Linked DNA regions of Drosophila melanogaster. The protein of the gene in region 4 purifies or fractionates together with the protein of the main gene of each other region. This does not show direct contact. Each region holds a gene or a part of one and is shown on either strand. Other genes may lie near its edges.

Region 1 (6,596 bases), on a different chromosome or scaffold from region 4:
AAACGAGCTTGACCTTAGGCCCCTGCCGAACGAAACCAATCGCGATTCCAAACTAACTGAACCTCACCTTGTTTTTTCGCGGCGGCTTCTTGACTTCAACTTGCACGGCTGTTTGCATCTTCCTGCCCCAGAACTGGGTTCTCAACTGGGCAAAGTTTTTGGCCGAGATCCGTATCTTATCCAACTCGGTCCAAAATATAGCTATATTTGCCTTGCTTTGCATGTTTACTTGCTTTGACACTGACAATGATACGCCATCCAAGATGCGGAGATACTCAGCGAAAGAGTGGAAGAGCAAGGTGGCGGGGAATCTTATCACAGCTGATGTGATAATTACCCAGAGCAAATACTGAGATACATGGTATTGTACTATATATATGGAACTCCTCGTTTAAGGTGTATTTATCGTTTAGATTTCTTGTTCACATATAATTTAAAAAGAATGTTCATCGATCGCTTTCAGCTCATTTTATATAAACGAGAACCTAATATGTCCCGATATGGTTACCTTTAATTGCTAATTGCTTGGCTTATGTGCCGGACATCCCATCCACATCCGATCCACGAACAAATGCGTTATCAGCTGTCAGATGGGCACTTTCACTCGGAAAAAAAAAGGCGAAAACAAAGGAATTATGCTTTTCCAGTTGATTAGTCGGGTCAGCGGCGGCTAATTCATGTCCGCATAAATTTCAATTCAAATCTCTGACAAACTCTGGAAAGTTTCGGAGCGTAGGTGGCCCGCAAATGGATCGCATTACATGCAGATACTTTGGTATCTATTGCCATTAGGAATGATGAAGTAAGTCAAACAAGACGGCCAGCTGGAGTGGAGTAGAGTGAATTGCATTGGATTGGATTGGATTGGATTGGAGAGCAGCGGTCTCCGAATCCGAATCCAAGTCCAAGTGGATTAAATCGAGCTGGAGTGGGGACTTCACATGCAAATCAGGCTGAGACAGGAAATTATTACACACTTTTCCCAGTCTAGTTTTGGTCATGTGCTGGTGGTGCCTGGTTTCGGTTGCTTTCGCAGCGATTCATTAGCATTGCACGGCTTCCGTATATGGGCTCCGAAAATGTATAAAGTGTTCGTGTGCGGCCAGGCCTATGCCCAATTGCTATAGGGTTATATGGCTATATGGGTCAGAGCTTCCCGTGTCTAGGTAGTGATATCAATCCGTTATCGGGAATCAACTTTCTGTGATGCGGTCACCACAATCGAGGAGACGGGTGGCCGGAGACCTTGGCGGTCTGTCTGGATTTGTCTAGGGTTCGGATTACGGACTATGCCATATTATTATTTCATACACTATAAATACACTATAATGCAATAGATATATTTTTTTTTTTGTAGCAGACTTTGGCATAGCCCAAGAAATACTAGCAGGCCTTGCAGCCTCAAGCTGAAAGTGCCACATATAAATAGCAGGTAATTGGAGGTGAGCAAGTGTGAAGCCACCGGTTGAGATAATTTAACTATCCATCCAATGACTTGGCCCACATTCCAGCTCCAGTGCTCGTGAGAATCGAGTCCGTCTGCTGAATGCCCCCGTATCGCCTCGAACTACTCCGTGGGCTAGGCCAATGTCAGTCTGGCCTAGCTAGCCTAGAGCCTAGAATCCGCCAGCGGCTTGCGTCATAAATAAGGCGGCCACAGGCCAGACGAACCAGTTCGCGAGCGGGTTTGGCGGCAGTTGCAGTTGCAGATGCAGAAGCAAACAGTTGGCCGAGATGCAGATGCTGATGCAGATGCAGATTATGCAACCTGCGCATTTCGTGGAGAAAGCTCAATGGAATTCTAGCGCAGATTGCGGTAGTTGACGTCACAACGGAACTTGCCGTTAATTATTGGTCATTCGTTGGGGATAATCCCTCCAATCGCGAATTATGATAGCCCCCATTCCCTGCCCCTTCCCGTTGCCCAACTCCCTCTAGGCGTCAGTGTGTCGCCAGGAAGTAAACTCAGCGCAGCCCGAAGTGGAGCTACAAGTCATTGAAAACCCACACAAGTAGAGCGTAGGACAGACAAGTGGTATTATGACATTTCCCAACCAGCATAGAGGTGTTGTGTCAGTTGAGTTGGTGTAAAATATGCGATAAATGCCATTGCTATGCTGTGCAGTATTTGTTCTTTTTCCTTTCCAAAGCCATACATACATTTCGATGGACTTCAGTCAGCTGGGTTGCTATAAAGCTATTGCAGTTGCAGTCTTCTAATTTCATGCCGAATCCAAGCCAGGAGCTGCTTCATTCATCGCAACCAATAAGTGCTGGTCGAGAGTGCGAGAATGGGATAGCATGGGATGGGTCTTGAGAGGATCCAGCAGAGGCTCGACCGTTCAGATTGCCCAACTCTTACCCCCCATCGGCATTTCTACACTCGCACACAAGAAGGCAACCGAAAATTATTACTAATTAATTATTGTTGCACAAACAGCAGACGCCTGGCTGCAGTGCACCTCGAGTACTTTCGGTACCTCCAATACCGATCCCATCCCGCCATATAATTTGCCGAATTGGACGTCGGCCACTTGTTTGTTTTTCGTTTGATTTTTGTTTTATGTTTGTTATGCGGCGCGCGGCATTTCGTCAGCTCATTCAATTGAAGCTCATTCAGCCGCACTTAAATCAGGGGCGAAGTGAGCGGGGGAATTGGTGGATTGCGGGATGGCGGCCAATGGGCACTTAATTTCGCTGGAGCGCATTTCACTTTCATTTCCACACAATCAAAATACGTCGAGTACCCGGGCATCGGACATCGGGCATCCGAGCATCGGGGATCGGGGATCGGCGATCGGAGAAGGGGGACTGGGAAAAGTGAGGCGCAAAAATTTCAATTTCATTTTATTTATGAGCGTCTAGGCGACACTTTTGAATGCAAATGACGTTAAATTGTTGGTCAAGTGAGAGCGGACTCTCGCTGCCTATTCCCCCTTTTCCCTGCCCCTCATCTACTTCGCCCCCCCCCCTCGATACGAGGCTCACAGACAGCAGGTGGAAAACCTTAGAGGTGCAGCAGGGAACTGCGTGACGAAACCAAAGCAGTTAAGAGGGACTTACCCTTCAGCCAATAACTTTTCTTCGAAATTGCAAAAGGGGTTGCGAAGTAAAAGCACAGAAGCTAGACAGACTTCCTAACCAAACAAAATAGTTTATGAATATAACAATAGATGTATTAAATGTACAAAGTATTCGAGGCGACAGTGTAGCAAATAGTTTTCACACCATTTTACTGGGTTGCACAAAAAGCGATTCAATTTAACGAAACAACCGAACCGAATTCGTGTAAAGGTCCACTCTTTGGCAGGTTTAAGTGGATCGACCCAGAGACCCACTAACGCCCCCAAAAGCCCAGAGAATCCCTTGGCACTCACCGTGTTGATCTTATCCATGAGGACACTCATTTGATTCATGCTCGACATAATGATACTGCTCTGTAGCACTGGAATTCGAATTCAAAAACTATAACTATAGCGTTGCAAGTCTCTTCTGCCGCGGACTGGGATGCAGCACCAATTCGCACATCACGCACTGCTCATTGCCAATTCACTTGATGCAAAAAAAAATTAATCCGAAGAAAAAAAAAATTTTAAATTGACATACAAAGTGTATTCAAACAGTGTTCGTTCGCTTTGCGAAAAGCACACGCGCGCGCGTATTTCCAATTTCCGATTTAATCAGTTCGACTTCTATATAGCCTATAGCCTTAGGTTTTGCTTTCCATAGCCGGTCTCTGTCTGCCGGATGACTTGACCCGCTCGCGTGCGTTCTTATCGACGGCTGGCAGCGCATTGAACGCTCGCCGCTCAAGACGTGCCCACGGCAGCGGCGACTTGGCCAAAAGCAACACGACGAGCACGAGCACGTCGCCGCGGCAAGCCGAAGAAGTTGGCCAAGACAGAGTGGCAGCGACAGGTGCCAGCAGAGAGCCCGAGAGCCGGAGCGGGCTCCAACGCGAACGCGAAACCGGTCGACGGCAGAAAGCGGGCTCTGAGCCTATTCTGTGCCTAATGCCGCAGACCCCACTGTGTCCCAGTCTCAGTCGCACTCCCGCCCGCACACCGCTCGCCTTGGCTCGCGGATTGGGGCCGCCTTGGTGGATAGTGGGTGGTGGAAGGTGCTGCATTTCCATGTGCGTGCGGGGTGCATTCCTGGGGTATTTATGAAATCACAAGGGCTGAGACACTTGAAGAGATATCGAGGTAATTATGGGTGTGAAACGAAGAGCTTACTGCTACGAGCATTTAGAAGACCAAGCGGAGCCTAAGGTCCACGATACTGGAATACCACCTGCGATTCATTCCCAAATGCAATCCAACCAGTGATAGTTTAACTTCGAAAGGAGACAACTAGCCGACCAATGTAAAGGAGTTGGAAGCATGAAACCAAGCCAAGAAACAATTGGACAGCCGAACTGTCTATCGAACAACTTAATTAGCTCTGGCAAATCAGCCGCACACAACAGACAATTGTTAGTCCGCTCGATAAGTTGTTCGGCAACATGCACATAGCCATGTTCACCGGTAACTTTGGCAATTGTGGGCTCAAAGCCGCCAGAGTCGAAGTCAAAGTCAAAAACAATTTAAGGTCGTCACAAGTAAAGTTTGTTATTCCCTCTCTTTTGTTTCGATTTTGCAAGTGTCATGCAAAAAATAAAATATCATGGCAATACCGCCGTGTAAAAACACCGCCTCTGCCCCTCTATCTCCACTTCCCGATTTTCAGCAACGATTCTCATCATCTCTTTTTTTTATGTAACGGTCCTTATTAGAGCCAATGTTGTTGTCTTATACCGACGATCATTGGCCAAATACCGAATGCTGACGGTCATTCAATTTGGAGTCGACGGCATGAGGTGGCCATCCGTTCTTTAGCTGTTTTGGCTGGATATTCGCGCCTTTTTTTTTTAGCTTTTTGATACCCTTAACAGTTGAAGAGGCAAATGCTATTATTATTTTAAAACCAATTTGATGGTGTAACCATCTTCTACCACGTCTAAATTTTGATCGTTGAAAATAGAAGAGCGACTATTCAATGATGTATCATACTTATATTTATGGGCTGTAAAGCGCACTCATTTTCCGATTTTCTAGACCTATCGAACATTTACCAACTGCCTCCTCGGCAGCGAACCGTCTTCAATGACTTCTTACTCACCTGTTGTTGCTAATTGGCTTCGTTGTTGGGATTAGTCTTTGGCTGCAAGTGGAAAAGAGGAGAACGGCGAGAAGCAAATTAGTAGGAATCCGTCATAGTCATAGGTAGTCGGAGTGGTAGTCTCCCTATTGATTAATGCAATCCTCACAGCCCGAGCCAAATCGAATCGACTCTCCCATTTCCCATCTCCCATTTGCTACTCGAAGGGCTTTTTATGGGTGTTGTGCCAACTCATCCGAAAGCCACCACGCTTCGATCGCAATTACTTGGCCATTATGTGATGCAGCCAGACATAATTTCCCATTAGCAGCTTTTTGTCGATGGGCCAAGAAAACGTGAGCATGAGGCAGTTCGTAATCACTCAAAGAACCCACTTCATTTCCCTGGCTAATCTGATTTGGTTCGCCCCTATCTCCAGGCACAACCTCTGCCCAGCCCCTTTTCCATTTCCAGCTAATCGCAGATGCTCCTACTTCATCAAGTCTGCCTCCGCCCGAAATCTTGTAAAATCATATCCATATCATTTTTGAGCTTGAGCTGACGAAATCCTAAAGTACAGAGAAGGTGTTTAAAAACATTGGTTGAAAGTGAAATTTTGCCCACGGCCGCGTCGTCTTCAATTTGTTTATTTTCGGCTGTTTAAATGAGTTTTCAATTTCACTAGAAAGCATGAAAGTACGGCCTTTTAATATTCTTGCCGGGCAGAAATCACAGCGAAATGGAGAAATACACAAACAATTTATCCGCCTGTTGGCACCTGACATGAATGAGTCAAACACAAGTGTTTGCTCGCCCCGTCCTTTTCCTTCGGACTCTCTCTCTCTCTCTTGCGCACGCCCACTAAATCACAAGTGTGAGTGACGAGTGGAAAGGGTGGAAAGGGTAGGGTTAGGGGTGCAGGTGAAGGGCGCGATAACTGATGTGATGCGGCTAATCTGCTTGCCAGTTTCCTGAGCCTTCTAGGGGAAAATCAAAAGACTTAAGCAACGAACTTGGGGAACAACGCTAAGGAAACAACAAAGCTGAGTAAAATAAATCTCTCGATGAAAGTGTATTATAATAATCACTGACAGCTGCCTCTCCCAGCGGCGGATCACCCGCATCTGTGCCACTCGCTCGCACATCCGTCAATTGGCCCGACTCTTTCCGGCTTACGGATTTCTGATTACGGCTCAGCGGCCCGCGGCTTCTTTGGCCAAAACGGGCGAGGAGTTGGACGAGCGACTCTGACAAATTGATATGCACATTCGGCGACATTAGCATATGTCGCGTATGCCTTAATTAACTATTCCGCTCAGCTAATATCGGTTTCACCCACCCCACAAGGGGCGTTTGGGGCCCTGCTGGTAAATTGTGGACTTGTGGATGACTTGACGCACGAGTATTTCAAATTTTTAAGAAAGTCTCGCCAGCACTTCCCATATGAAAGTTTTGCT
Region 2 (9,741 bases), about 15 Mb from region 4:
GTTTTTTCGTATAGGTAGCGAAGTTGGAGTTTTCATCGATATGCATTGCTAATTTCTTGACATGAATTTAGTTTCAACTAGAAGTTTTTTTATAGTATATTCGACTTGTAAAATTGGTACTTTAATATTGGGACAGTCATAGCAGTAAAATAAAATGTACAGCTGAAATTAAAAGGCCTGCCAATCATTTTAATTAAATAAAAGTGATCTTGTATGTGTTATTTGCATATTATAAATTCTAAACAAAATGTTATTTATTAAACAATCAATTAAATAAATACTCCAATCAATTCAAACGGAAAACTCAATCCTATAAACCAAGGACTCCGTTACAGCAATTAATAATTTCGGAAAATCCACCTGTGACTCTAGTTCCAGTTAATTAGTACTTTGCGGCTCTTGATACAGTCCTTCCTGCTGGGCATCCAATTCGTCAAATCTCTTGGACACGCCAATTGAGTTGATATGCAAGCAAGGCGACGCACACGGACTCACGGCTAATGAGCCCAGGCCCTTATATCGCTACAGATATCTATTTATATATGTACAGAGGGGAATTGCTCGTTCCATTACTTCTACGCGGAGCCTAGAACCTCGTTGAGGATCATTTCGCGGGTCATTAGTTGTCCGTTGGTGACACGCGTCCGCGATCGACTCCGGCTGAGCTGTGCCCTCCGCTCCGCTCCCGCCGGTCGTTGTCGCCGGGCCTGTCGATTTCGTTGGCCAAAGGCTGAGCCCGTTTGCAGCGCCTCCAACAGACTGTCCATCACGCCTTCCTGCGTCTGCGGGGCATCCATGTCAACCACTGCCTTCTTACGCTGTTGGCGCTCCTGTTGCTCTCGAGCAGACTGCTCTCGGGCCTCCTGCAGACGACGCTTCTTCTCCAGCTCCTCGCGTACCCGGACATTGTCGTTGTGGGCCGCTTGGAAGGCATCCTTGAAAGTCTTGATGTCCGCAAAGAACTCCTCCATTGTGTATTTGCTGGGATCGAAGGCATAGTACTCGCTGAGGTCCTTGTACAGCTTCTCCATTTGCAGCTGCATTTTGCCTGAAATTAAAACGAGATGTTAGAGAATTCGATTTTGCTCATGTAATATTCGTTCCGATCAGATGAGATAATCTTACCCAGCACGTCCACTTGTTGTCTGCACTCCTCGGCAAACTTGCCCATCACCTCGCTAAACTTGTCATCATCACACTGCGGCACCTTGTTGTTCTGGAGATCAGTTTCCAGGTTCTTAACCGCCGAATTCATTTGCCGCATGGCCTTTTGGATGGCATCCATGTTGACCCGCGACGCTTTATTAACATGCGACAGATCGTCGTAGAAGTTTAGTGCATCTGGGAATTTCTTTTCCACCAGGTCAGCCAGGTAGTGCAGCAATGTCTGCTTATTATCCGCATCCTTCGTATTGGACAGTTTGGTTAAATAACTGATCTCAAAGCCAAAGGCGGCCTCGTTTTTGGAGCCCGAGTTCATGTAATTTCCAAGCAGCAGAATCAGCTCCAAGATCTTTGAGAACTTTTTGCTATTCCGGATCTCTTCGCATGCTGCCGTTCCTGCCACAATGTCGGGTTTGATATCCTGCACCATGTCCGCGTAGGTCAGCTTGAAGTTCAGGTTGTGAAGTCGCGGCGAAAGGCGTTTAATTTCCCCTGAAATTAAGTAAAGTTATTCTGCGCCTTCTGCACTACAAACTCCATTCGCCTTACCTATTGTGGCTGCAAACTGTTCAATCGGCGGTAGCGGTTCGCCCTTTGCCTTGATCTCCTGCAAACGCTTGAGGTGCTCTGGCGGCGGAAGGTACTGGATAAGTTGCTGCAGGATATTGGAGGACAGGATGTCGGTGTCGCAGCGCAGCAAGCAGATCTTGATCTGTTCGTAGGACAGATGCTTCAGCGATCCTCCCAACATAATAGCCAAGTTCTGAGCAGTCTTCGAGTCGAGCACACGAAGATCGACATTTTTCTTTGTCAGCGTCGTTGGCTTGTCCACCGCATCCTTCTGTTCTTTCTTTACAGGTTTAGAAGAGAATTTCACGGCCAGTTCTGCGAGGAAGTCATCCTGGGCCAGCTTATCCTCCTGGCACTTGACCCAGAATGCCTTGTCGGACATTTTGGCCGGGACAATGGCTTTCCAGTTGGCCCGCTTCATGGGATTCTTGACGTCCCACTTCTTCTTCGGTTTTAAGCCATGAGGCAGAACGGGAACCATGGGCCCCATCATCATGGGCGGTGGTGGAGGTCCCCCTCCTGGGCGCATCATGCCAGGCATGGGTGGAGGCGGTGGGCCTCCCATTCCGGGCGGTGGAGGAGGTGGTGGCGGTCCACCTGCCCTTCCCGGCATGGGAGGTGGTGGTGGAGGCGGAGGTCCACCACCTGCTCGTCCCGGCATAGGTGGCGGCGGTGGGGGAGGTGCTCCTCCTCCTCCTGGTGGTGGCGGTGGCATGGGTATGTTTACCTTGGGTAGCTTATTGGGCGACGGAGCCGCCACACCATTAGCCTCCATCAACTTGACTTTCTCCTCCAGATGAGCCGCCTTCGCTTCCGCCTCTTGCTTGGCACTCTCCAGCTGCTCGATCTTCTTCTCGTACTCCTCCGACCGCTTCGACTCCTTGGCCTTGGCCTTCTCCACAATGTCGTCCAGCAGTAGCGAGGTGTCTATATTAAAGTTCCGGTTCTCGAAATTCGGATCACAGTAACCCTTGTGGAAGACGATTTGTGAGATGCACTCCTCAATCAGCTGATAATAGGCAGGTCGGAAGTAGAAGTCATCCCTGATGTACAGCAAATGCTGCAGGATGGACAGGAAGTAGGGCTCGGAAGTGGTGTCAGTCACCAGGTTCTTCAGCACATCGAAGCAATCGGTGGCGTCGTCCATGTTGAAGGTGACATTATCGAAGCGCTGCACAAACTCCTCGAAGTCATCCTCGCGGATCTCGTTGAAGATCTTGAAGTGCTGCTGCAGGTTCTCATTATTGCTGGCCTCCACGATTTTGGTGAACTCATCTAGGCGATCGTATAGACCCATGCGCATAATCTCACATCGCAAGTGCAGGCGGAAGTTCAAATCCGTGGGGGTATTGGTGAGAGTATTAATAAAAATCAGGCTGTGGCATGCCAAGTCCCGTTTGGGATCCTGCTGATCCGATGCAAACAAGGCATCCACTATGGGTCGAAAGCGCTCGCTCGCTTTAAAGGATGTGGCTGCAATAGTGGTTATGGCTCGGAGAACCTTCTCGTAGCCATTCCGCTCATAGACAATGCAGAACGAGGCCAGCAGCTTGAGGGCTTCACACATCGTCTGCGGCTTCCGGGGATCCAGGGATTGCGCCAGCAGCAGCACCACACTATGCTGATCCGGATTGAGCACCACGTTCAGACCCCATGTGTTGTTCATGATCGCCTTCAGGCACCGAATCGCCTCGAACTCGATCTTCTCGTAGCTGGCATTATTCTTTGACCGGGCCAGCAGCTTCTCAATCGTCCCGATGCCCGCCACTCCAAACTCCTTGATCCACGAGATCGGATTGCTGGTGAGCGCCACGCGCAGAGATTCCACACATTGGTACACCTTGTGCGTGCTGTGCTCCCCATTCTGCAGGTATTCCACATAGTCTATGGGCTTCTCGAAGCGGGAGTTGGCGCTACGCTCCAGTGAGTTTTTACCTGGAAGAGAAATTGGAGTTGGAGTCGGATGAGCGCACGTATTGAATTTCTGTAAAGCTATTTAGTGGTCAGCGGTATTTTACATAGTAGACATAGGAATATGGTTCTATAAACACCTATTAATATCTAATCCGATCAGTTCGTAACTTAAGCAATTGATAATTATGGCTAATATTGGACATTTTGATTTGTTACACTTTTGACATAAATTAAAAGTTGGCACAATAGTAAATTAAAGTACATTTTGCCATTCAACTCACGTTTGTGCTGTTTCGATGATAAAAAGTATACGGGTTCATTCCAAAATAGCTCAAGGCTTATATTTTGAAAGAAAGAGGTTTGCCTCCCACCGACAACACACCTGAATTTAGTCATATCAGCGATGATTCACTCTACCCTATCATTAGTCTGCTAAATCGGAATACTTTCCCACAAACGTACAATGGCAATTTGATAAGAAAACCATTTAATTAACGAGAAATTACCACTTAAGCTCTAATCTGGAATATAATCGTTAACAAGTTATGTTAAACAAAGGTGTAACATTATACACATATCAACACATTATAATACGCAAATGTGTTTTTAAGTTTATTTGCCATCACTCCAGATTTTCCAACTTGAAGTTTGTAAATTTCATGATAAAGGATGATACATATTCTATATAGGTGGCTCAATGATTACACTTTGGAGGTTCTAAATAGTTGCTGCACAGCTTTATGTGATAACTTTGCCCTAAAACTGTGAGAGATAGGGGTAGTTAAAAGGCTATCATCATGTCCCACCTTTGGAAGGGAGGCCTTCGGTGCGACCACCCACCCCTTTTTCTGATTGACCTGCACCACTGACATCACTCAAATTGGCCAAAACCTGCCCACCACTTATACGTTTATCCGTCAAAGCAAAACTACGCTAACTGTTTTATTAATTAACTCAAAACGGCAAGCGAAGCGTGTTAATGAACAGCTTTTTGTGCGAGCCTTTTTTGTTGTCGGCCAGTCCATTGTTTGTGTTTTAAATTTAATTTCGCAACAAGTGGGTTCTGCCACAATAAACACGACCCACAAATACTTACTTCAGTCGCTTTTACCTCTCACTCGCAGCTATCTGCACCTATGAGATACGATTGTGCCGCAGCTCAAGTTTACTGACAGGCATCACAATTTATTTTCAGCTCGATTTTGTCATAATGTGTTTAATGTTTTCGCATATTTGCATTTTATGGCCGTTCCAAAGTGTAAGGAAAATCACCCTCTGCCTCTGCTACACTGAGAACTAAGCCTCGTCGGTACAGGAAATTTGAATTAAAATTTGAAATATTAAATTTATATTCAATAACAAGGCCATTGAGATTTATAAATAGTAGGTTATAATCATTAGCTATATTTATATATGATGTTTAGTAAAAATACTTTCAGTGTACATAGTACATCTCTCTCTCGCCTTCACGATGCACTTGCTTATACAACAAAAAGACCTAAGCGCGAAATAAAAGAATCATTTCATTTTCTCACTGCCACTTGACGTAATTTAAATTGTATAATGTGCACGGTGGTGGAAATTCAATGTCTTTGCATTTTCATTTTTTGCCGCTCGACTTTGTCACGCATTCGCCGCGTACCACTTACATACATACTATGTATAATATAGCACTTGGTATTACTTGATAAAATGGGCAAGCAGATAGTCCGCGGCTGTGGCGCAATTAGGCGTTACAAACGATAAGGGAACTTTGATTCCACACTCCGCAAGACTGATAATGGACCATGGCCATGGTGAACTAACTGGAGCGAGACCCAAAGAACGAAGCTGAAGCTGAAAGCTGAGCTGGCATTGAAATGTGCTCAAGATACAGCTGGCGATGTGCTACAGTGATAATTGGTAGTATCACTGTAGTACAGTAGAGTACACCGTACTAATCTCGCTGGATATGAATGAAGCAAACACAAGGGAAGATTCCAGCTGAATCATTACCGCGCTGCGATGCACATAATATCGTTATAATAATTCTAGAAATAAAGTATTCTCAAAATTGAAGTAGAGTTAAGCAAGTATATGTAGTTAACAAACAAAGTAATCACCTCTTGACTAATTGAAGTGGAAACCATTTAGAGACTTATGTATGTTATGAGCTTACTTATCCAAAGGATCGTTGACATCACTTCAATCGGTTTAGGAATTGGCCAGAAATATAGAACAGAACCTGGCCACAGAGCAAATTGGCAGCTAAGAAGGCGCTAAGCAATCAGAAAGCGAAATTTGCAGTGTCACGCACACAGCGAAACGGGGAAAGCACACGGACACGAGTTCCGTTACCTGCTTATCTTATCACAAGTGGAATGCAATATTCCGCAGCACAACAAAAGCAAAAAAAAAAAGTAGAAGGCAGAGTCACCCAGTTGCACGAAAATCGATGGTCTGCTGTTTGTATACCCTTGCAAAGGGAAAGGGTGTTAAAGTTTTGCCAATCCGGTTGGCCTTTCAAAGTTGCTTGGAACATTACGGTTCAGACGAGTTTAGATTATTCGTATATGTATGTAGATTATTCTTAGACTTTCTATTCCAGAACTATAGTTCTTAGCCAAACGATACTCAATCTTCAAACACAAATGCGGTTTTCTGTTTGAAAACGTGTACTTGCACCATGTTCTTTACCTTTCAAGTGCCACATAATCATCTTCTGTCGCTCCTCCTTCGATTTGGCCAACAGGGGCTCCCTCTTGTCCTTCGGAATGTTCATGTCCTCGATGATCTCCAGAAACTTCGCATCCAGCTCCGCAACGCTTAGCTGCTGGATGTACTGCTCAAAGTCCTCCACGCCCGGCACCACATAGTTGTCCGCGGACACGGGTCGTCCGCCATGGGCCAGGGTGCCACTGCTGATGGTTCCTCCCTTGGACTTCGAGGGTCTTCCGAACAGACTGTCCAGGAGCCCGCCGCCCGTGGATTTCGTTTTCTCGTGACGAGACATTCTGCAAAGAACAGAACAGAAATATTGGGTTCGATTTCATAAACTATGCAAAAGATTTCAAGTCTAACCCCAGCTTTTTGAGGCGCATTTCGTTGGATAGCTAGGCGAAAACTAAACAAAGACCAAACAACGATTTTTGGGGCCTGCGCAGTCTTCAATATTTTGGGGGAGACAACTTGCACAGCTGTTCCTTGTTTACAAGTGTTCGAGAGCAGCGCACAGACCGCGGTTTCTGATGGCTTCCCAGCGAATGCATCCAATCGATGGACGGATGGCTGGGAGGTGGTCGATCATTATCAGCTTGGGTTTATTTACAATTATCTGGGGTGCCGTAATGTCGATTCAGCCTCAACGGAGTGTGGAATTTTCAATTAACACGTACATATGTACGTATTTTGAGGGAACGAGGCCCATTACAGTGGTTCTTCGACTTGGAAAGGGTGCTGTTTTCCTTTTACATGCTTAAGAACATTAACACATGAGAGTTGGCTTTCATTTAAAATTTTTTAAGGGTGGAAATCTAATAGGAATTATAATTTTAATACTGTGTGAATATTACTGGTAAGCTCAAAAATGATCAATTTATAATTAGGTTTGTACAATAAGTTTATATTACAGATTAAAACACTCTCAAGCTTAACCATTTTCCAAATTAGAATCCGACCACTGTGCTATCCAAAACTCTCACCGCGTGAAAACGACTGATTATAATTATAAACAAAAACGATAAAAGTATACCGCAGCAAATTGGACAAATTCATTAATAATGCGCACTAAATTTACAAAACGATGCGATAATCGCGGCCAGCCAAAATAGGAAATAGCACGTTATTCACAGCGCAAAACTGAGAGCCAAACAAAACACGAGAGAAATTGGTTAGAATATGTGGAGAATATGGAGTGATTCATTTGACCAGGCTGAGAGGCTGGCCGTTAGCGTTTGAACATTTGAATTGCCTTGTATTGAAGGATGCGTTGGGAACAAGCTTTGGCTTTTTGCGTTAGCTTGTCCAACGCATCTAATGAATCACTAATGAAATCGGAATCGCAGCAGCTGAGCAGCAGAGGTAGAAAACAGAAAATCCAATAAAAAGGCAAACGAGCAACAGGTTTTGCGGATGGTTCTGGCTCGCTACACGGAAAACAAAGTACTTAAACTGTAAGATTTGATTAGGAAATGAAATAAACGTTCGTTATTAGTGCTCTTAAATTGAGTAAAATTTACATTTTAAGCTAAGAGAGCTATAAAGTGCTGCGTTTCAATATTTGGCATGCAAGGATAAATTTAATAGATATATAGATATAGATATATATGTGCCCTGGTATTTTCTGCAGTGTGGCGAACGGGCGTGCCAACTGGCGGCAAATCATTCACAGTGCTCGGCTAGAGAAATCAAATTTAATATATGACTCCGCAAAAGGCCAATTGTGAATGGAGTGTTGTGTGTGTGTGTGTGTGTGGGCAGAGGAGTGTGCGAGGGAGGGGGCGAGGAGGTGGGTAGTGGAGAGTGGAGCGACAAGTTCAAGCAGGGCAACAATTTCTTTTCAGGTCGCCAGTACACATAAGCATCTGCGGAGGAAATGCTTTCAACAAGATTTCTTTTGCCAAAGAATTTACTGCAATTGCCTCTTTCTCTATTTTGTTTACATGCACTGCATCTCTTTCCCTCCCCTCCACAACATCACAACACAACCCTCCGCGACCAACACTCCTTCCACAGAACGATCTACATATGTCTTTCTCGCTCCCGCTCTGGCATTAGTTGTGTGCTGCAACTGCGAAAATGTAAACAAGTATAAAACCGTCTAATAACCGCTGGAATTCCAAGAAACGAAACGAGAATTGGTAAGAATGCGCTCACCTTCGTTTTGATATCTGTGTCGCCTGCTCACTTTTGATTTTTTTCGGTGGTTTACGTCATAAGACCAGAAAAATAATGGCTTGCCACTCTCACACAAATAGAGCCACACTCGCACACGCACACAAACTCGCGATCAAACGGCTTTTGTTGTGGTTGTTGTTTTTGGACTATGTCTTTTTGTTTGTTTTATTGCGCGACGCTCTGTACAAAAAACAAGCTGACAAGCTGTGCACACCGTTCCCTCCGAACACTTTTTCTTGCAGTGTGGTACTCCTTACTTATTTAGTTGTTGCTCTTGCTTTCCACTTTCGGCCACTTGTTGCTCCTTTGCCGGGAATGACACATGGAACACACTCCGCTAGCGGGCTTTTGTGCAACGCAAACACTGTTCTGCCTAGTTATTGGACACTTGGCATGCAGATCGCTGGCTCTTCACGGCCGTTAATTGCGAAAAAACAAATTCTAAGCACAAGCGGTTCGATTTACTCAGCGCGTTGAGTTGATCGAAATTAGTGTGACCGCAGCGGGATCGCTCAATCAAACCGCTTCATTTTCAAGGGTTATGGAAATATACTTTTGGGATTTAGCCTGTATTCGAACCAAACAATAAGCAGCAAGCCGGTGTTTTTCACTTATTTTTAAAACTTTGTTTATGATTTTCATTTTATTTTGCTTCGTGTTCTAAATGCAACCAATTTTGTTTGAATAAAATATTTATATTTGAAAATTAATTATTAAAGTAACACAATAGGTGTATATAATTAAGTTGGCAGTCCTAGTCTATCTGATTTGCGCATTTTGACAGTCCGACAGCACTATGAATTTTGTTGACTTCGGGTTGGGAATTCTTCTTCTGAATTCTTTTATATAAATTGGACAGGATGCAGCGCGATAGGGACTCATCCGGCTCCAACGCCCGCAAGGGCAACCGCCCACCGGGTCTCAGGGGCAAGGACATCGGTTTGTACTATCGCAATCTTGCCCGGCAGCAAAAGAAGGACAGAGGCGAGAATGCGGAATCAAAGGAGCCGCAAATCCGCTTGGGCTGCAATGTCAGTGCTCCCAGTGGAGTGCTTGAGCGTGTGAAGGAGTTAATGGAGGACTACAGCCGGGCACCGTCCAGACAAAATGTGGATGACAAAAATGTGGATGCCAAATTTCAGCAACAGTTTCGCCATCTTTTGAGTGTAAACTTTGAGGAATTCGTTGCGGAGACCAAGGAACGGAACGCGGACTTAG
Region 3 (9,053 bases), 4.8 Mb from region 4:
CTGGACGTGGACATCCTGATCACGGGGCACACGTACAAGTTCGAGGCCTACGAGCACGGCAACAAATTCTACATCAATCCGGGATCGGCCACGGGTGCCTTCAACCCACTGGACACCAATGTGGTGCCTTCGTTCGTGCTGATGGACATTCAGAGCACCACGGTGGTCACGTACGTGTACCAACTGATCGGCGACGAGGTCAAAGTGGAGCGCATCGAGTACAAGAAGATCTAGGGTCCTAGTATTAGCCACCAGCCATTCCCCTCCAATCCAACCCTTGACCCCTGCATTCTGAGCTCGGCTTCATTAAAGAAATTGTAAATGTACGTAGCAATAAATCAAGTTCTCATTTTTTTATCTGATAAAAAATGCTAGCACCTTGTTTAAATAGAGAATAAAAGTACGAACGGACGAAAGTGAAGTTTTAGATTTAATGCAATAATAAACGATTACAAAGTAAGGAAAAACACCCCCAGAAATTGTGATACTCCCACAATAATCTGATAAAAAAGTTTAAATTTTATTAAATAGAATATAAAAAGGAGTTACATCTGATGATCGAGTAAAGAGTCTGCTCAAAAGTTCGGATTTCATGCTCAGTTTCTCATTGCAACACACTCTCGATATAAATACATTGGGTTCGGTTTGTGGCCATCGCTTTTCCATCGAAATAAATTATATAAATACTTTCCACGAGCCAGGACAGCAATGTTTGGCAACATCATCAATACGAAATGTTTGATCTAAAAATCTTTGAATTACGAAAACTTTGCACTTAGATTAAATACAATTATGATTGCTGCTGACGACAGTTGGAAAAGCAACGAACAGGATCCCCGAGGAGGAGAACCGCCTTAGCCGAGGCTGTCCACGCACACAGTCTTCAGGGTCTTGCCGGCAATCGTGGTCTTATACTGCTCCGGTAAAGCCAACTCGGTCTGGAAATCACAAAAAAAATAAATAAATGACTGAAGACAAGAGACAAATTTTTGAACTCACATAATCGCCGCTGTCGTCGGGCAACAGGATGTTCATCTCCGAGGACTTGGAGTTGACGATCTCCACGCCCAGCGAGTCCTTGGACAGATACATCTGGCAGCCGTCGGTCTTGTCGATCGATACCGTCGGCACCGAGCCGAGCACCTGCATCTGCACGCTCTGGCAGTTGACGAACTCCACGGAGGCCACCACGGAATCGAACAGCAGGGAGCACTTCTTGCAGGAGTCGAAGACGATGTTGTTCACCTTGCCCTTGACGGTCAGAGTGGATCCCTCACACTTGAACACATACACCACGTTGTTCATCTCGGCGTTCTCCACCAACAGCCCGGTGTTGTTCTTCTGGTACTCGATGATCCACTTCTTTCCGTCGCGCTCGAAAACGGGCGCCTTGGCTTGCGCAGCTGATGGAGCAGCAACGGCCTTGCTGCCGCCCGACTGGGCTGGCGATTTGAACGGAGCCGGTCCAGTGCGTAGAGATGGATTTTTATGGGTCTGCATGTCGCCAGTGACCTTCTTCAAGCCTGCGGGTTTATCAAAAGATACATTTTCTTACTATAGGAGCACTTAACCATTTTTGCAGTTGCTGCTCACCCTTGGTGATGTCGGCACCCTGGTTGATCTGGGCGAAGAGGGCGCTGCGATCATCTCCGGCGCTATCCAGCTTGAGGGCACTCAGATCCAGCATGGGCGGCGGTGGGGGCAGACCACCGGGTGGCGGTGGTGGCGGGGCACCTCCGGCGGGGGCCGCTCCCTTGCCGGACCACACCAAGCCCGTGGTGTGGTACTGCCGGATGTAGGCCTGCAGTTCGGTGAGCGTCTGCACCCAGGCGCGGGCCCACTCCACATGCGTAACATCCTTCTCCTTCCACTCCTTGAGCACGCGGTTCGTGTAGAACTGGCCGGCGTCGTTCATCTCCTTGACATAGGGACCCGGGGTCTTCTCCACGCACACCCAGCCCAAGGCGGGAATGCTTTCGCTGATGGCCGACAGGTGGTTGAAGAAGGGCGAGGAGCGGTGCTTCTCGCGGAAGTCCTGGATGGCGCTGATCTGCGTCGAGGTCGGCTTCAGAAGCTCCGCCTGCTTGGGCTGCGCCGGCTGGGCGATCTGGGTGGCCAGCGTCACGTACTGCAGTTGGGAGCTGTTGCGGAATTGAACGATGGCATTATTACACTTTTACCATAGATGACTCATCCAGACTGACTCACCCAAAGGCGCTCTTCACGAGCTCCGCATGCTGCGCCACATCGCCGCCAATTTTGGCGGAGAGAGTTAGGTATTGGCTCAGCGGACCCGCCACAATGTCCTCGAATCCGGCGACACTCATGTTGCTGCTGGGCGGCGAGGGAGGTGGAGGTGGTGTCTCTGCTTTTTCAAAAACTGGAAGAGCTTCTTCTTCTTCGGCTGGCGGAGGCGGGAGTGTGGGCGTGGGCAGTTCTATCGGCTGTGGCGCTGTTAGAGTCCGTTCCAATCGGTCGACGAGGGTCTCCAGTCGCTCGCAAATGCTCTCCAAGTGGTCGACGGCGGCCGAGGGCTTGGCTTCCGGCTCGTTATCTGAACCAAAATGACGCGGAGGAGAACGGCAAATGTTTAGTTCGTTTTGGCAATTATCTCGAATTATTCAAATAACACTGAGTTTTATAAAGAAAATAACTTGAGTGAGATGATGCTTCAGCGTGATAAACCCCAGTGAATCGTGCACTCACAATACCTGACAAAAAAGGCGATATAAACTAAGGCGTCTCGAGAGGAATACCTCATCACGAGCTTGTGTATGATGATGAACTGGTGCGCTTAATACTTATAAAGTTCAATATGCAAAAAGAGCTAATCCCAACGAGTGAAAGTAATAATCCACATGCAAAAACGGCACAAGACAACGAAAAATCATAAGAGAGAAGAACTAAGTTGAACCTTTAAACGGAAGCACTTGACTTGCGAACTTATTGGCCATCAGGAAGTTACGTGAATCGCTAGACTCTCAAAACTTCTTCACAGCGAAAACGAACACATAAAGAACACAGAAAGTCAAGCATCCGCTTAAATAACTGCTGAGATCGAAAAAAAAAAGCAAAAGAATCGGACTCTATCGAAGCTCGCATACCCCGCACGGCCACGCTATGCTCCACAGCCGCATGGGCGGCCCGCAGGAGCTCCGTGTAGAGACGCTGGCGCTTCAGCTCCAGCTCGTCGCGTCCCACCGGCGTGACCGGGGGCTCGATGCAGCCGCTGGACATGGAACGAGGACAGAGGAGACGATGTACTGGCAATTCAAAGCGGGGCTGGGAATGCAGGGGTCGACCTGTTCTGGTTTCAGCTTAACTATATGGATATTTTGGGCGTGAAACCAAAACAGGATCTTGGGTAAGCATACATGTCGTTCAGGCGCTCGTCGTCGAACCACGAGGGTAATCCGTGGGCAAAGAAGAGTGTTTCCGAGACGACATCCCCCTCGATGTAGGGTGCACACATGCTCTCCCGCTTGGGTGGCGGCAGTGAGTCGGAGAACACCTCGTCGTCGTCCAGCAAGGAGCCCTGATTCTGGCTGGCCAGCAGGAGCAGTGGCAGTGGATCCGGCTCGATGATCTCCGCCCGGTTGCTGATATTCACCTTCTTCTTGATCGACTGATGCGTTGAGTTGTGCCTGGACAGGCAGCTCTTGGTGGGCGGCGGCTGAGGAGGCGGTGTGGTCGGCGTGACCGTCGCCACCACCACCACTTCGTCCGCCTCCTCCGCGTCGCCGCTGGTCATCGAAGCAGGTGGTGCCGTGGATGTGGAAGAGTGCGTTGAGCGGGCCAGTGGCTCCGGTTCTTTGGGTGCTAGTGCTGGATTTGCTGGTGATGATTTGCTAGCCGCTTCAGCCTGAGTTGGTTGGGCTGTGGAAGTGTTGCTTAAGATTACTCTACATGAAGCGACGAATTACCAAGACGATCATCAAGGAAAGCGCCGATACTTAAGTTGATTACTTCACTTCACTCTCTGCTCACCTCGCTTCCTGTCTTCATTATGTTTATTTATCGCATTTAAAAGCATTTACCATGGTCACTGGCAGATTGAGTAGTTAGTTTTTACTGCTCACCTTATTATTATAGAATCTATAGAATCTTGAATTTTCTGTCTAAATTATTGACCTTCATTTTAGTTTCTATATTCGTCACTACTATATACTATACGTTCACTTTGATGGATGAGCACGATCTAAGTGCTCAACAAAAAGTGTGTATGCAATGTCATTAGCTATTCCTCATTAATCAACTGAGAATCGGCGCAATTCCTTGATATTCATATGTATAAAATTCACAGAAATAAACCGAAGAGAAAGCACAGTGAAGACAACTCATAAGTAAATAGAAAAGGACACTCAAGGCAGCTTGAAGTGCCCGGATTGAAATGAAAGGAAAGATCAGAAGTGGTGGTCAGCTGCAGTGGCATTGCAGTGAGTGAGAGCCGGCCGGATAGGGGCCTTCGTTCCGGAGAGCAGACAAAAGCCGAGACAGCTGTTGAGCTCGAAGGCCGGAGAACGCGAATAGATGGGGTGGTGGGTAAATACTTAGCGTTGCGTCAGTACCAGTGTTTGGCTGGGTGCTTGTGGGCACATCCTCGGGATTATGCGCTTCCAAGAGCTCCTTTTCTGGTTTCACAGGCTCTGGCTCCTCCTTCGGAGTTCCTGGCTTGCCGTTCAGCTGGGGTTCCTCCTTTTCGGTGACCTGTCCGCCGTTCTCCTCCTCTGCGTTCCGCTTTTCCTTCTCCTTCTTGCCCGCCTTGGGGTTCGATCGGCAGCAGGAGAACATTTTGCAGGCGTGTGGCTGGGCTTTTCCGGTGCTCAACACTCTAGGTACGAATCAAGCACATTATGTAAGTTCCGTGGCTCGACTGCGGATGCCCGTGAAGCTCAAGCGGCGGTCACAACACTGACGGCACACCAAACCAAATCGAATCAGTAGAAGCAGTAACAGCAGCAGCCATATAAGACACTCAACGGGTTTCCAACGAACGTGGCCACTCCTTGCTCACTGTGTACATATATTCAGTGTATGGCCCAAATTTAGTGGCACATTAATAAGGTCCTCCGAGTTGTCCGCGCCTTCAACTGGGTCAAGTGACTGCCGACCAAGCACAGAACCAAATGGCACACAAATGCGATTACACACGGAGAACAGAACACACCCTAAACGAAGCGCACGCCCACGCACTCGGGGATTCGATTCGATTTCGAACTCGAACTCGAAGGTCTCAACAGGACTCTGTTAGGAGAGCTCCGCGCTGTTAACTGCTGAGTTTCGCCGCCTTGTTGGGCTACTCCGCGCTGCTTTTGACCATTTGGGGCCAGCCACCGACTGGCAATGAAATGTGTTTCATTAATAACCGCTTTTGGCCTGACATGCAGGATTTTGTGCAAGCTCCGGCGATGTCTTGCACTTTTGCAGCAGAGAAAGCTTACGGTCCAGGCGGAAAATGGAAAACTCTCCGAGAGAGTTGCGCAGACACCACTGTGATTTCGTGATACCCTTCTCGCCACGGGTGGCGCGACTTAAGTGAGGGAAAACCACGGCGATCCCATAGTTTTATCAGCCCTGTAAGGCAGGGTTCGCCTATCAATTAGTTGTGACAACACCGAGTTATCTTTACTATTTGGAAAGTTTCCAGGAATGATCGGTAATGAAACTATGATTCCATTTTGAGCATTACCATAACGTTTGTAAGCCATAGAGAGTAGAGAGATGCAATGATCATATCTTAGCCGGCTATAAAAACAGTTTTAAAATGTTCAGCTTTTTGTGAAGTAATCTGCCGCAGAAGAGTATAAAAACGTCGACGTAACTGAAACTCCCATATCGTTTGCTTGCCAGTTTTTGTTTTGGCCTTAGTGCAATGGGTTTATTGCACCGGCAACGTTGTTTTTGTTTTTAAGTAGCTTTAAACAAATGGCTGGCAATTAGAGTGGGAAATGCATCAGTAGCCGTTGGATTGGAGGGAGGGGCTAAGCCGCCGAGGACAAGTAAGCCGAGATTCAACTTTCGCCTGGCGATACTAGTTCTCCTTGCAGTCTTGATGCGTTTTCTGCGGCAGATGCGTTTGTTGCGTGCAGAAAGCAAAGAAGAAATGGGGAAGAAAAACTAGAAACCAAGATTAAATGTCTGCAGCTGAGGAACCGTTATTCCCGCTGCGAGAGTGTGAGTGAGCTCGAATTACCAGGGGTGGGGGGTGTTCGTAATGGTAGAAGAAAAATCGCCCACCTTATAAGGCGAGGTGTTATTTTCTTCCACCGAAATCGAGTGAGTGGTAATATCTGCCGATTTTCAATCGCGATTCGCTGATAAAAGCGTTTTGGCCAACTTTTTGACTCATTCGCGCACGAATACAAGCAAACGTGTTTGCTCTTGCGTAAACTACATACATGCATACATACATATGCATATCAACTATGTGTCTGTGAGTCAGCGAAACAAAAACAAAAAATGGCCACAACAGCTGAGTAGTTACTTTTTTTTATCGGGGGTTAACAATCGCAATGGGAGCTGCTAAGGGTTAATTTGCATACACTTGCTGGCAATGAATTAGTTGTGTCTTTATGCCATGGAATCGGATATGAAATCATCGTTAAAAATACACCATGTAGATTTAATTTTACAAGCAACATGAATCACACAAAAATAGCCATCACACAGCTGTCTCTTGTCTTTTTGGCTCTCTTCGCTGTTGTTGTTGTTGTGTGTGTACAAACACCCACAGCCTGCATCACACACACACGCTCAAATTCGTGACAGCACCACCCACCCCTCACCAATAACCGTTAATTCCGCAGACACTTTCAGCCGGCGAACGGGAGAAGAGAATTTGCGAATAATAGCAAAGCCCCGTTTAAATGAACGTTTTTAGCAACAATCAGGCGTTACTCACCTTCTTTTGCTGCTGATGAATTTGCAAGGATCTGCAGTTGTATTCCAATTAGAACTGACGAGAAGCTGCGTAGCGAACACCGGCGAAATGGCGAAAATAATAACTTGGCGTGGCCTTTGGTGGGACCAGGCGTACATTCGTGGAAATAGTCAAGCGAGTTAACCCTTATGTGGGTGGCAGAATACTAAAAATATATGATACAACAAATTTTAGACTTAAGAAAACGGATGTTTAAATGTATAAAATATGATGGAAGTGCAATAGCCAAGCTTATAAACTAATTCTTAAATTATTTGCAATGCATTTAGGACTTTTCGATATACACGTAAATAAACTATATTTTGATTGAACACGGTACATTTCTACTAGAGTTCACCTTCAGATATTGACGCTATTTCTTGTCCTGTAAATTATTTTGTTAAATCGTTCACATTGTATGTCTAATAAAGATGTTTTCCAATAAAATGTTATTCCCTTTTCACTTAGTCTAACATATTCATTAAATAATCAATGTTTTATTTTTTATTTAGTTATTTTAATTAGTTCTTAATTATAAAACTGCTCTAGATTCTCGATATTTTGCGGAATCCGGCGCATGGTCACACTGACGAACACGTATTTTCATTATTCTTGCGAAGCGCATCGCTTAAAACTTGATTACGCTCGGATAACAAGATGCACCCGCGTCTCAAGTGACTGAACAGGTAGCGAAGTGACCCTGGATGAGCGTGGGTAGGCAGCCGGCACCTCTGGAAAGCCCTAATCCCAGGTCCGCCAGCCGTTTGCAGGTTATGTCCGCTTGTGTACACTGTGACGGGGAACCGAAGAAGCAACAGGAGCGGATTCCTGGCAGAAGAGACAACCGCTGTACGAGATACCGCCCCTGACCTGCGCAACATGATCGAGGTGCTGTGCCTGCTGCTGGGCAGGATCCTGCTGCTCCTGGTCGGCGGCTACGAACTGATGTGGCGGCTCCGAGAGCGACTGAATGCACTGGCCGTCCGGTCATATGACCTTTGGCGCAGCAAAGCGGCACGTGAGGCGCACGAGCGGCGCGTGCTCGCTGACTGCCGCTCCCAGTTGACGAAGACGCCGCAGCATCTGGTCCTGGTTATCTCCCCCGTAGATGCCGGCGTGGATGCGGTGCTCCTCAGCAGGATCTTCGACTTTGCCCTGGACGTGGGCATCAAACACGTCAGCCTGTACGACAGGCGGACGAAAGGCAGGGGATACGTGGACATGGCCGATCTCTGTCGATCCACCAACGCGGACACGGGCAGCTGCTTAAAGTGGCCACCCGTAGCCAGTCCCAGCAAACTGGAGAACCAGCCCAAAAACGGACAAAAGACAAATGGTTATGTGAACGGTTCACATTCCCCTCAACTGCAGGTGAGTGGCGGCGTCTGATAAGCCGTGATTAGTAATGGACTTTAGAACGATGTCGGAAAATGTCTTACAAGTATTACACTTTTTGTTTCAATTGTTAAATAAAAGAAGTAATGAGCTGGAGATTTAATTTAGTTCATCATTCACATGAGATACAAAAAATTCTTCGTGCTGAGAACCAGTTTTACCTTTGTATCCATTAAAACCTATGTATAGCAACGTAATCGATTCCCGGAACTAGTCGTTGCCTTATCAGTTTCTAATTGACTTTTCGGCTTCGGCGTCTTTCAGCTCCATCAAATCAGCGCCTCCGACGGCCATGCCCTGATCGCCGACGTCTGCCGCGAGTTGTACGAAGACAGTAAGACGGAGTTGGTGCAGAGCCTACTTAAGCAGAAGCGCGAAGCGCTGACGGAGCAGATCAGCGACATGCTGAGCAAGCGACTCGGGTTCGAGGCCCCGGAGCCGGAGCTGGGCATCGTGTTCGCCCGGCAGACGTGCACCTACGGCCTGCTTCCCTGGCACGCGCGCTTCACCGAGTTCCACACGCATCCCAGCGGACGCCACTTCGACGTGGAGACGTTCGCCAGCATCCTGTGCAAGTACTCGCGGTGCGAGCAGCGGTGGGGCACGTAGGCACATCGTTCGCGTGGGTAGCGACACCCTTATATTAACTAGTTACCTTAACATTATGTAAATTATCGCCAGGAATTCCTTTTAGTTCGTAAGAGTAAACTGCAAAAGTGTATTGTTCACATGAAAGTGT
Region 4 (6,785 bases):
ATCGAAGAGAGCGGACGGAAGAGAGAGAGTATAAGGAGAAGAAAGAGAGTGCTGCAAAGCGGAATTTCAACAAAGAAATACAGGCGCAGCGGCTGAGTCATCGTGCTGTTTTTTCGCCGATTTTGCACATTCTCGAAAGTTTTTCTTTGTGACTGATCGAGGGGGATGATGGTGAAGATGATGATGGGGGACTCGGAGCCATTTACTCACCCGACTGGGCCTGGGCAATGACATCGCGACCCCTCACACAGGGAATGATGGCGCGCTGCTGGATGGCCGACGGCTTCTCGAAACCATAACCGTAGATGCCGCGCAGCAACTCCTCGCGCAAGTTCATGTCATCGAAGTTGTCGTACACCTCGTGCCAGGTGGACTCGATGACGCCCTCGGGTTCCATGCTGGCGGGGCCATCCTGAGGTATCTCATTTCGGTCATCCCTGCAAGAAAGCGAGAATGCGTTAGTGGGGCGGAACAGTGGAAACAACAACAAAAGCAGTAGCGGGACGGGGGTAAAAAATTTTCCAGCCACAATTGTTGGTTATGGCGAATGGCAGAAAAGCGAAAAGTAAGTAAGGCTGGTGGAGGGAGAATCGAAAACCGCGAGCGCCGCTTGGCAACCACTCACATTATCAACAATAAAGAATTGACTAGGTAAACTTATATCCTGAATTTCGACGGCTTGGGCCCGGTTCACTCAATCAACTGTTTGCCTATTTGTCTAGAACGAATAACGGAGAATTCGGGCCGAACGCCGACTGTGTTGTTTTCTCGAGCTATCGAGCGCTTTGCTTTTAGTCCGTTACGTTTGTGCTGCGATGCGCTCTGCGAAGCGGTGACTTTACGTATGAGACCGAAAGCGATAGCTAGGCAGCCTTTTTGAGCGACAAGCGGCGAGAGTCCGCCCCTGAGCGTGTGCGAGCGGGACGACCCTAGTGTCGTTCGTGTCAATGTCAACGGGCGAGAGCAGCCGAGCGATATTAGCACGTAACAGTGGCGCCAGTGTTGCCTAACACCAGTTGCGAATGGTAGTAGTTGATCGAAAATAGCAGTAGTTTTGACAGTACGGCGGGGTGGGGATAGAAAAAAAAAACCGACTGACAGGCAAATATTCCAAAGCAAATCGAAAATTGAGTTGGAGCAAGGCTAAATCAGCCCACGAATGCCGTCGTCCACTAAAGATAGAATCAGCGGTCTGCGTCATTGTCCAGTCATGAGTCAAGCGAACGGACGGACGAGAGTGCATAAAATCCAGTCAAGTGGCGACACCGACGTCACCGGACTTCAACAAAAGTCCCCAGTTCGGAGTTCTAGGTTTCGCCAAGGCGAAGGGGGAGGGGTGCAAAGACCGAGTCCAGCAACAAAACTCTCTTGGAGCAACCACTGCGCTCGCTCTCTCTCGCTCGCATGGTGGCTGCCTCTCACTCCCACTCCCTGCACTGTCATACGGGCGTGTAATTTTTTTCCACTCATTTTGACCGTCAGAAATTTAAAATCGCGTTTTTTGCATTAAAACACGCGGAAATTATGCTAAGCAGTTGCGGAATCGATGCGGCACAAGATCGCCTTGCGGCTTTTTACATTTCAAACGCTTAATCTAGGGTATATACTAACATTTTCTGAAAATTATTTGGCACTTTTTATACACGTGCTGCTACTGATTTGTTAAAACCAAGCAAAAGAGGCTCCATCTTGCAAAAGTTTTAGTGATGTAAGAAAACATTAGCGACTATCGATAGATCGATCGCCAACTATCGCCAGATGTTAGCGGATATCCGGCAATTTCGCTGCGGCTTCGCAGTGTGTATGGTAAAGAAAAACAAAGCATAAAATAATGCAAATATTTTGAATTCAATTTGTATTATTTTGCACTTTTTTACGTTATTTTGGAGGTGCCACTTGAAGTTCAGGGCTGCAGACCCAGAGCTGGGGTGCCTGACTTCGCTATTTTATTTGCTATCGATATTACGCCCATCAAAGTTTTCCACCAGTATAAATATTTAAACCCGAATCTTATATTTGTTTAATAAATTTGATTGTAATATTGTTTTCCAACAGATTACATTCTCTTGTTGTAAAGACTTAATTGTAGTATTCAACCATTTGAACAACAACCTTATGTGAATCATATTATACAAATATATGAAAGTATGGAATTTTACATATGCTGCTATTCAGTGAACTGTTTTTAAATCGTGGGACTGGAACCGGCCAGCTATTTGTCTTAGTAGCTTAACGATCAGTGTTGTTTTGAATCTTTTTGAGTTTAAGTACAGTAATCTTATCTCATAGTACTCGAATGTGGAAGTGAATTTAAACTTTTCATGCCGCTGGTCTAACCGGGACTTACGAAGGCAAATAGCGAATACAATCGATTGCGAGGAATATCGTGATCGAATTTTGGCACACATCGATTGTTTCGAGCGAACAGCGACTTGTGTTCCAGTACTACCGCTTGTCGACGGTCACTCTGAATTTTTACCGCAGCGTGTGAACAGTGTGAGTGCCGTGGGTTTCCTGGAAATCCGTTTAGAAAGAGATTTCTCTAGACTTACTGAACGTGGGGTGGTTCGACAAAAATCGAAAACCGACCAACACTTTGGGTAAATTGCGTACAAAGCGACTTTCGTGCTGGGTGCACGCCTTAAATGGCGAAAACCCACACATGTACGCGCTACTTGGCCAACCGCGTTGGCTGTGCGTCGCCGTCTGCGGGTGTGTGTGTGTGTATGCCTGTGTGTATAAGTGTGCAAAAAATTAAGTGGGAAAAGTTCAGCAGCAGCCGGTCGGTATTCGGCATACGGCATTCGGTACTCGGTATTCCATTCGATTTGTCAAGCAGCCAATGCTAACATATTGCGGGTGCGGTGCAGCGCAGCACATTATGATATGTGAGATGGGATTCGAACATATAGGCGTTGAAATTAAAGGCTATTTTTAATTTATGACAGTTACTCAGTGCCGGCCAACAAAGTGACGATTCATAACACTCACTCGGAGAGCCGCCGTTGAGTCATCGTCTGCTCTCACTCGCTCATTTGCATTGTCCGCAGCCGGCTGATTAATAACGGCCCGCCTCGTACGACCGTCTCGCTCACACACCCACTCCAGGCGCACCGTTGCACTCGCCCTGGCTACGGCTCTCGCTCGCTCACTCTCTGCCCCACTCGAAAGCAGTGGCAGTGGGTGAGTGAACGGGTGACTCACGGCTTGGAATTGAGCGCTTTGGAGCAGAGGCAAGGCAAGCAGCCCCCTGCAGCGCGCACTCTTTCGCCACTCTCTCTCCATCTCTCACTCTCTCGAGTGGGTTTTCTCGAATTCAAAATCGGTTTATGGTTCTGCTTTGCGCTCATTCGACTTTTGAAATCCGCCTCGAACGCTTCGAAAATTCCCAGCGAGTCGGACGTGTGTGTGGAGCTGCGGCGTACGGTTTCTGTTTCTGTCTGTCTTGGTCTCCTTGGTCTTGCTCTTGCTCTTGGTCTCATCCCCCGTGCGTGTGTGTGTATATATGTGAGTTTTTCGGAGGCGGAAAATTAGGCGCTTTGTGCAATGCATCACAATCAAAATCACTAGATATATATACTTATATGTATATACATAAATGTGCATAACACAATTCCGCCGATACCCGGTAATTTGTCAAGGGCGGATGCAACACCCACTGCCGCATGATAAAATACGATACGATTTGATAAATGTTAATCCATCTCTCTCTCTCTCTCTCTTTCTCCACCTCTCGTTGCAGTTGAAAGTAAGTTACCCCAAGAAAAAATCGTCGGTGTTGCGGTTTTTCTTTGTCTCCCTGCCAATTTCGTGTGACCCCCGAAACGAAAGTGCGACTCGCCGTGCGGTAAAGCAACAGCGATCCATATCCAGATCCATATATATCAGTTCAACTTAATCCGCACCCACGACAAACAAAGCACCATGAGCTGGCAAGATTATGTGGACAACCAACTCCTGGCCTCGCAGTGCGTGACCAAGGCGTGCATCGCCGGCCACGACGGCAACATTTGGGCGCAGTCCAGTGGCTTTGAGGTGAGTACGTCGAACGGAATGGACTAATGGACGGAAAGCGGTTGGGAAAACCCATAGAATGGAATTCGGACGGAAAAACGGATAGTTGACAATGAATTTTCGCAAGTTCAAGGGTGTGACTCTCGCGCTGTCTTCCTCTCGCGGCCGCCATGATAACTTTCATTTGATAAAGAGCAACTCCCACCCCTTCGCCCTCGCCCTTGTCAGTTTCACCCCCTGCAGCGCCACTCCTGCGCAGGCCCGCTACCCCCTCCTCTCCCGCCTACGCTTTTGAGGGAGTGTGCGTGATCATACAACCCAGCAGGGAGACCAATTGGGCGACCTAGCCGATACGGATGGATTTCTGTTTATCGGTGACTAAGGAGGTGCAGCTTCGCTTCGCGGTAATCACCAATGCACTTGCATGCGGCGATGAGTGTGTGGTGTGGAGAGCGGGGGCGGGGCCGGGACCGGGAAATCTGATATCAGCGCAGCCGGTTCGAATGTCTGCGGTGCTGTGCAACACTGGTTCCTGATAATGCAGCCCACAGGCGCCTGGCATCAGCCCCACCCCTTCGCTATCGCTCGCCTTTATCGCACTCAATACAGACGGACCGTTTCCTCTGCGGCGACGGCCAAAATAAATGCTCTTTATCGGAGCGAAATACAGAACCAAACAGAACAGAACCAAAATGAAACGAACAGAAGTACAGAAAATATCTTGAGCATGCGATGCCGCGTCACCAGCGCAGAGTGAATCGAATTGAGTGGAGTTGACTCCGCTTCGGCTTCTTTTACTGATTTCGATTCTGAATCTGAATCTGCTACCTTCGAATGCGAATGCTCTGAGTATTTCTCGTATGCGCGCCACGTTTTCGCCCTTTTGTGAGTGTGGCTGTCTGTGTGCGTGTGCAACTTCCTGTCGACTCCGAATCCGAATACAAATACGAATCCATGTGCTCTTATCCTGCTCGCTCTCCCAGCGAGATTCCACTCGATTCGGGCAGCCACTCCCTAGTGCTTTGTCCGTCGAATGAAGTTCATCTCGCCGCTTATTAGATTAGGAACCGATTTTGGCCAAATTCGATCCGCTGCCTACGTCACCTCACCATCACACTCATTCTTTTATCTACCTGCCATTTCTGCACGCGCATCACTTTCGTTTTATTATCTCTCGCTGCCTTCGCAGGTGCCTTTGTTGTTTTTCCCAACTTCGCATTACCCAAGTTACCCAGTTTTGATCTTGATTCGGATGAATCATTGTGAATACTTAGCTTTTTCCTTTTCCGATTGATCAGCTGAGCTGGACCTTGTGAGAGAGTTGTGTTTTTGGGCTGCTAATAAAAGTTTATGATAAACACATTTATATACATGGCTTTGCATTGAGAAAACCGACTTTGGGTGACAGAATCTGAGTGCCATCGTGTGGCATGTTCATTCATTGAAAAACTACCAATTTAGGAGATTTTTGGCACTTGTGGAATTTTCGCTATCGCCGCATAATGAGCTCCGCTTAGTTATTAACGTTTTTGGCATAGCTGTCTACGCAAAACCGGCTTTTCGCGACTTTACTGCTCTTCTGCTCTGCTCTCCTCTTCGCATTTCTTTCTCTCACGCGACGCGAGTTGCGCTCAATGGAAACTTCTCGATGCCCAATTCGAGTGGCATTCGGATGTGTCACCGTTCGGCAGCCGCAAATGAGTAACTATCGGTTGTGCGAGATTTTCAAATTAATTTCCCCACTCACCCCCCGGCAAAAGCAGCTGTTACCTGGGGGATGGGGCTGCCAACTTGTTATGCATTTGACCAAGGCTATTGACATTGGTGCTACTCTCTCTCTCCCTCTTTGTCTCCATCTCTTTTGTTCTCTCTCTTTCTCTGAACGGACAAGTCGCTCAAGTGTGCAAAACTTGTTTTTAAAATCCAAAAAATCAAGCCGGGCACGCATCCCGAGACCCACAGTATCATATCCCTTAGCCAACTCTACAGCCTCCTTGTGCCACACCCCTCTGTTTCCACCCCGGTATCGAGTGGACCACATTTGCTAATGAGTTGGCAGTCGTCGTCGATGGTGCCTACTGTTTTCAAATGGGTGGTGGTTTGCTCGCGGTGGTGGTGCTTGTAGTGGTGGTGGTGGTGGTGGGTTTGCCTTTGTTTGCGTGGGTCGTCTGCAGCTGATTAGTGCGATATTTCAACAGAAGGTTTTACTTTACACACATGTCTCGCATGTCTTTTTGCCCCGAAAACATGCAACCTCCCCTGCAGGCGACTACCCATTAATTGAACCCAACACAACCAATATTTCATACCACCGTTCAAAATGTTCGTTTTTTTGCTCTCTTATGGTCCTTTGAATTGTTGAGCCTTTTTCAAAATGATGATTTTGCAAGTGGGATCAACGCAATATGATGAAATTCTCTCTCAATCTACTTGATTAAAGTTTTCAATATAGTTGAATTTATTAGGTACTGGTTTCTGATTCATACAATGGGTTTACTAAAGATTTGATGACAGTATGTCTGAGTTCATTTGATTTCTAATGCATATGGTTAACTAAAGACCAACATGACCACTAGTCCACCTTATTACTACAAAACAACTATCCACAATCAGCGGGCACTAACTCCAAACTTTCCTTACCATCTTGCAGGTGACAAAAGAGGAGCTCTCCAAACTGATCAGCGGCTTTGACCAGCAGGACGGTCTCACCAGCAACGGCGTGACACTCGCCGGCCAGCGGTACATTTACCTTTCCGGCACAGACCGCGTGG

The links.
Region 1: the proteins of chic (region 4) and DAAM purify together in Drosophila melanogaster (affinity purification with western blotting, with the first as the bait; one study listed by BioGRID). This does not show direct contact.
Region 2: the proteins of chic (region 4) and dia purify together in Drosophila melanogaster (affinity purification with western blotting, with the first as the bait; one study listed by BioGRID). This does not show direct contact.
Region 3: the proteins of chic (region 4) and capt purify together in Drosophila melanogaster (affinity purification with western blotting; 2 studies listed by BioGRID, with this or other methods). This does not show direct contact.

The regions. Positions count from the first base shown.
Region 1 is NC_004354.4:1,304,699-1,311,294, forward strand, and holds the start of DAAM (dishevelled associated activator of morphogenesis), read right to left. Parts: upstream 3,775-6,596; 5' UTR 3,426-3,774; coding exon 3,378-3,425; intron 148-3,377; exon of another isoform or gene 68-147; intron 1-67.
Region 2 is NT_033779.5:20,757,425-20,767,165, reverse strand, and holds dia (diaphanous), read right to left. Parts: upstream 6,867-9,741; 5' UTR 6,729-6,866; coding exon 6,709-6,728; intron 6,642-6,708; coding exon 6,325-6,641; coding exon of another isoform or gene 6,269-6,324; exon of another isoform or gene 5,025-6,268; intron 3,670-5,024; coding exon 1,714-3,669; intron 1,657-1,713; coding exon 1,126-1,656; intron 1,049-1,125; coding exon 576-1,048; 3' UTR 214-575; downstream 1-213. Other genes in the region: RHAU helicase, read left to right, coding at 9,384-9,741. UniProt on the Drosophila melanogaster protein: Required for cytokinesis in both mitosis and meiosis. Has a role in actin cytoskeleton organization and is essential for many, if not all, actin-mediated events involving membrane invagination.
Region 3 is NT_033779.5:1,151,178-1,160,230, forward strand, and holds capt (capulet), read right to left. Parts: upstream 5,135-9,053; 5' UTR 4,792-5,134; coding exon 4,569-4,791; intron 3,877-4,568; coding exon 3,375-3,876; intron 3,230-3,374; coding exon 3,105-3,229; intron 2,555-3,104; coding exon 2,209-2,554; intron 2,142-2,208; coding exon 1,594-2,141; intron 1,524-1,593; coding exon 1,000-1,523; intron 939-999; coding exon 855-938; 3' UTR 501-854; downstream 1-500. Other genes in the region: Vps29 (vacuolar protein sorting 29), read left to right, coding at 1-234; Tango14 (transport and golgi organization 14), read left to right, coding at 7,799-8,290, 8,579-8,923.
Region 4 is NT_033779.5:5,976,662-5,983,446, reverse strand, and holds the start of chic (chickadee), read left to right. Parts: upstream 1-2,428; 5' UTR 2,429-2,494; exon of another isoform or gene 2,495-2,600; intron 2,601-2,965; exon of another isoform or gene 2,966-3,238; intron 3,239-3,345; exon of another isoform or gene 3,346-3,507; intron 3,508-3,742; 5' UTR 3,743-3,924; coding exon 3,925-4,035; intron 4,036-6,664; coding exon 6,665-6,785. Other genes in the region: eIF4A (eukaryotic translation initiation factor 4A), read right to left, coding at 211-437, 1,612-1,613. UniProt on the Drosophila melanogaster protein: Binds to actin and affects the structure of the cytoskeleton. At high concentrations, profilin prevents the polymerization of actin, whereas it enhances it at low concentrations. By binding to PIP2, it may inhibit the formation of IP3 and DG.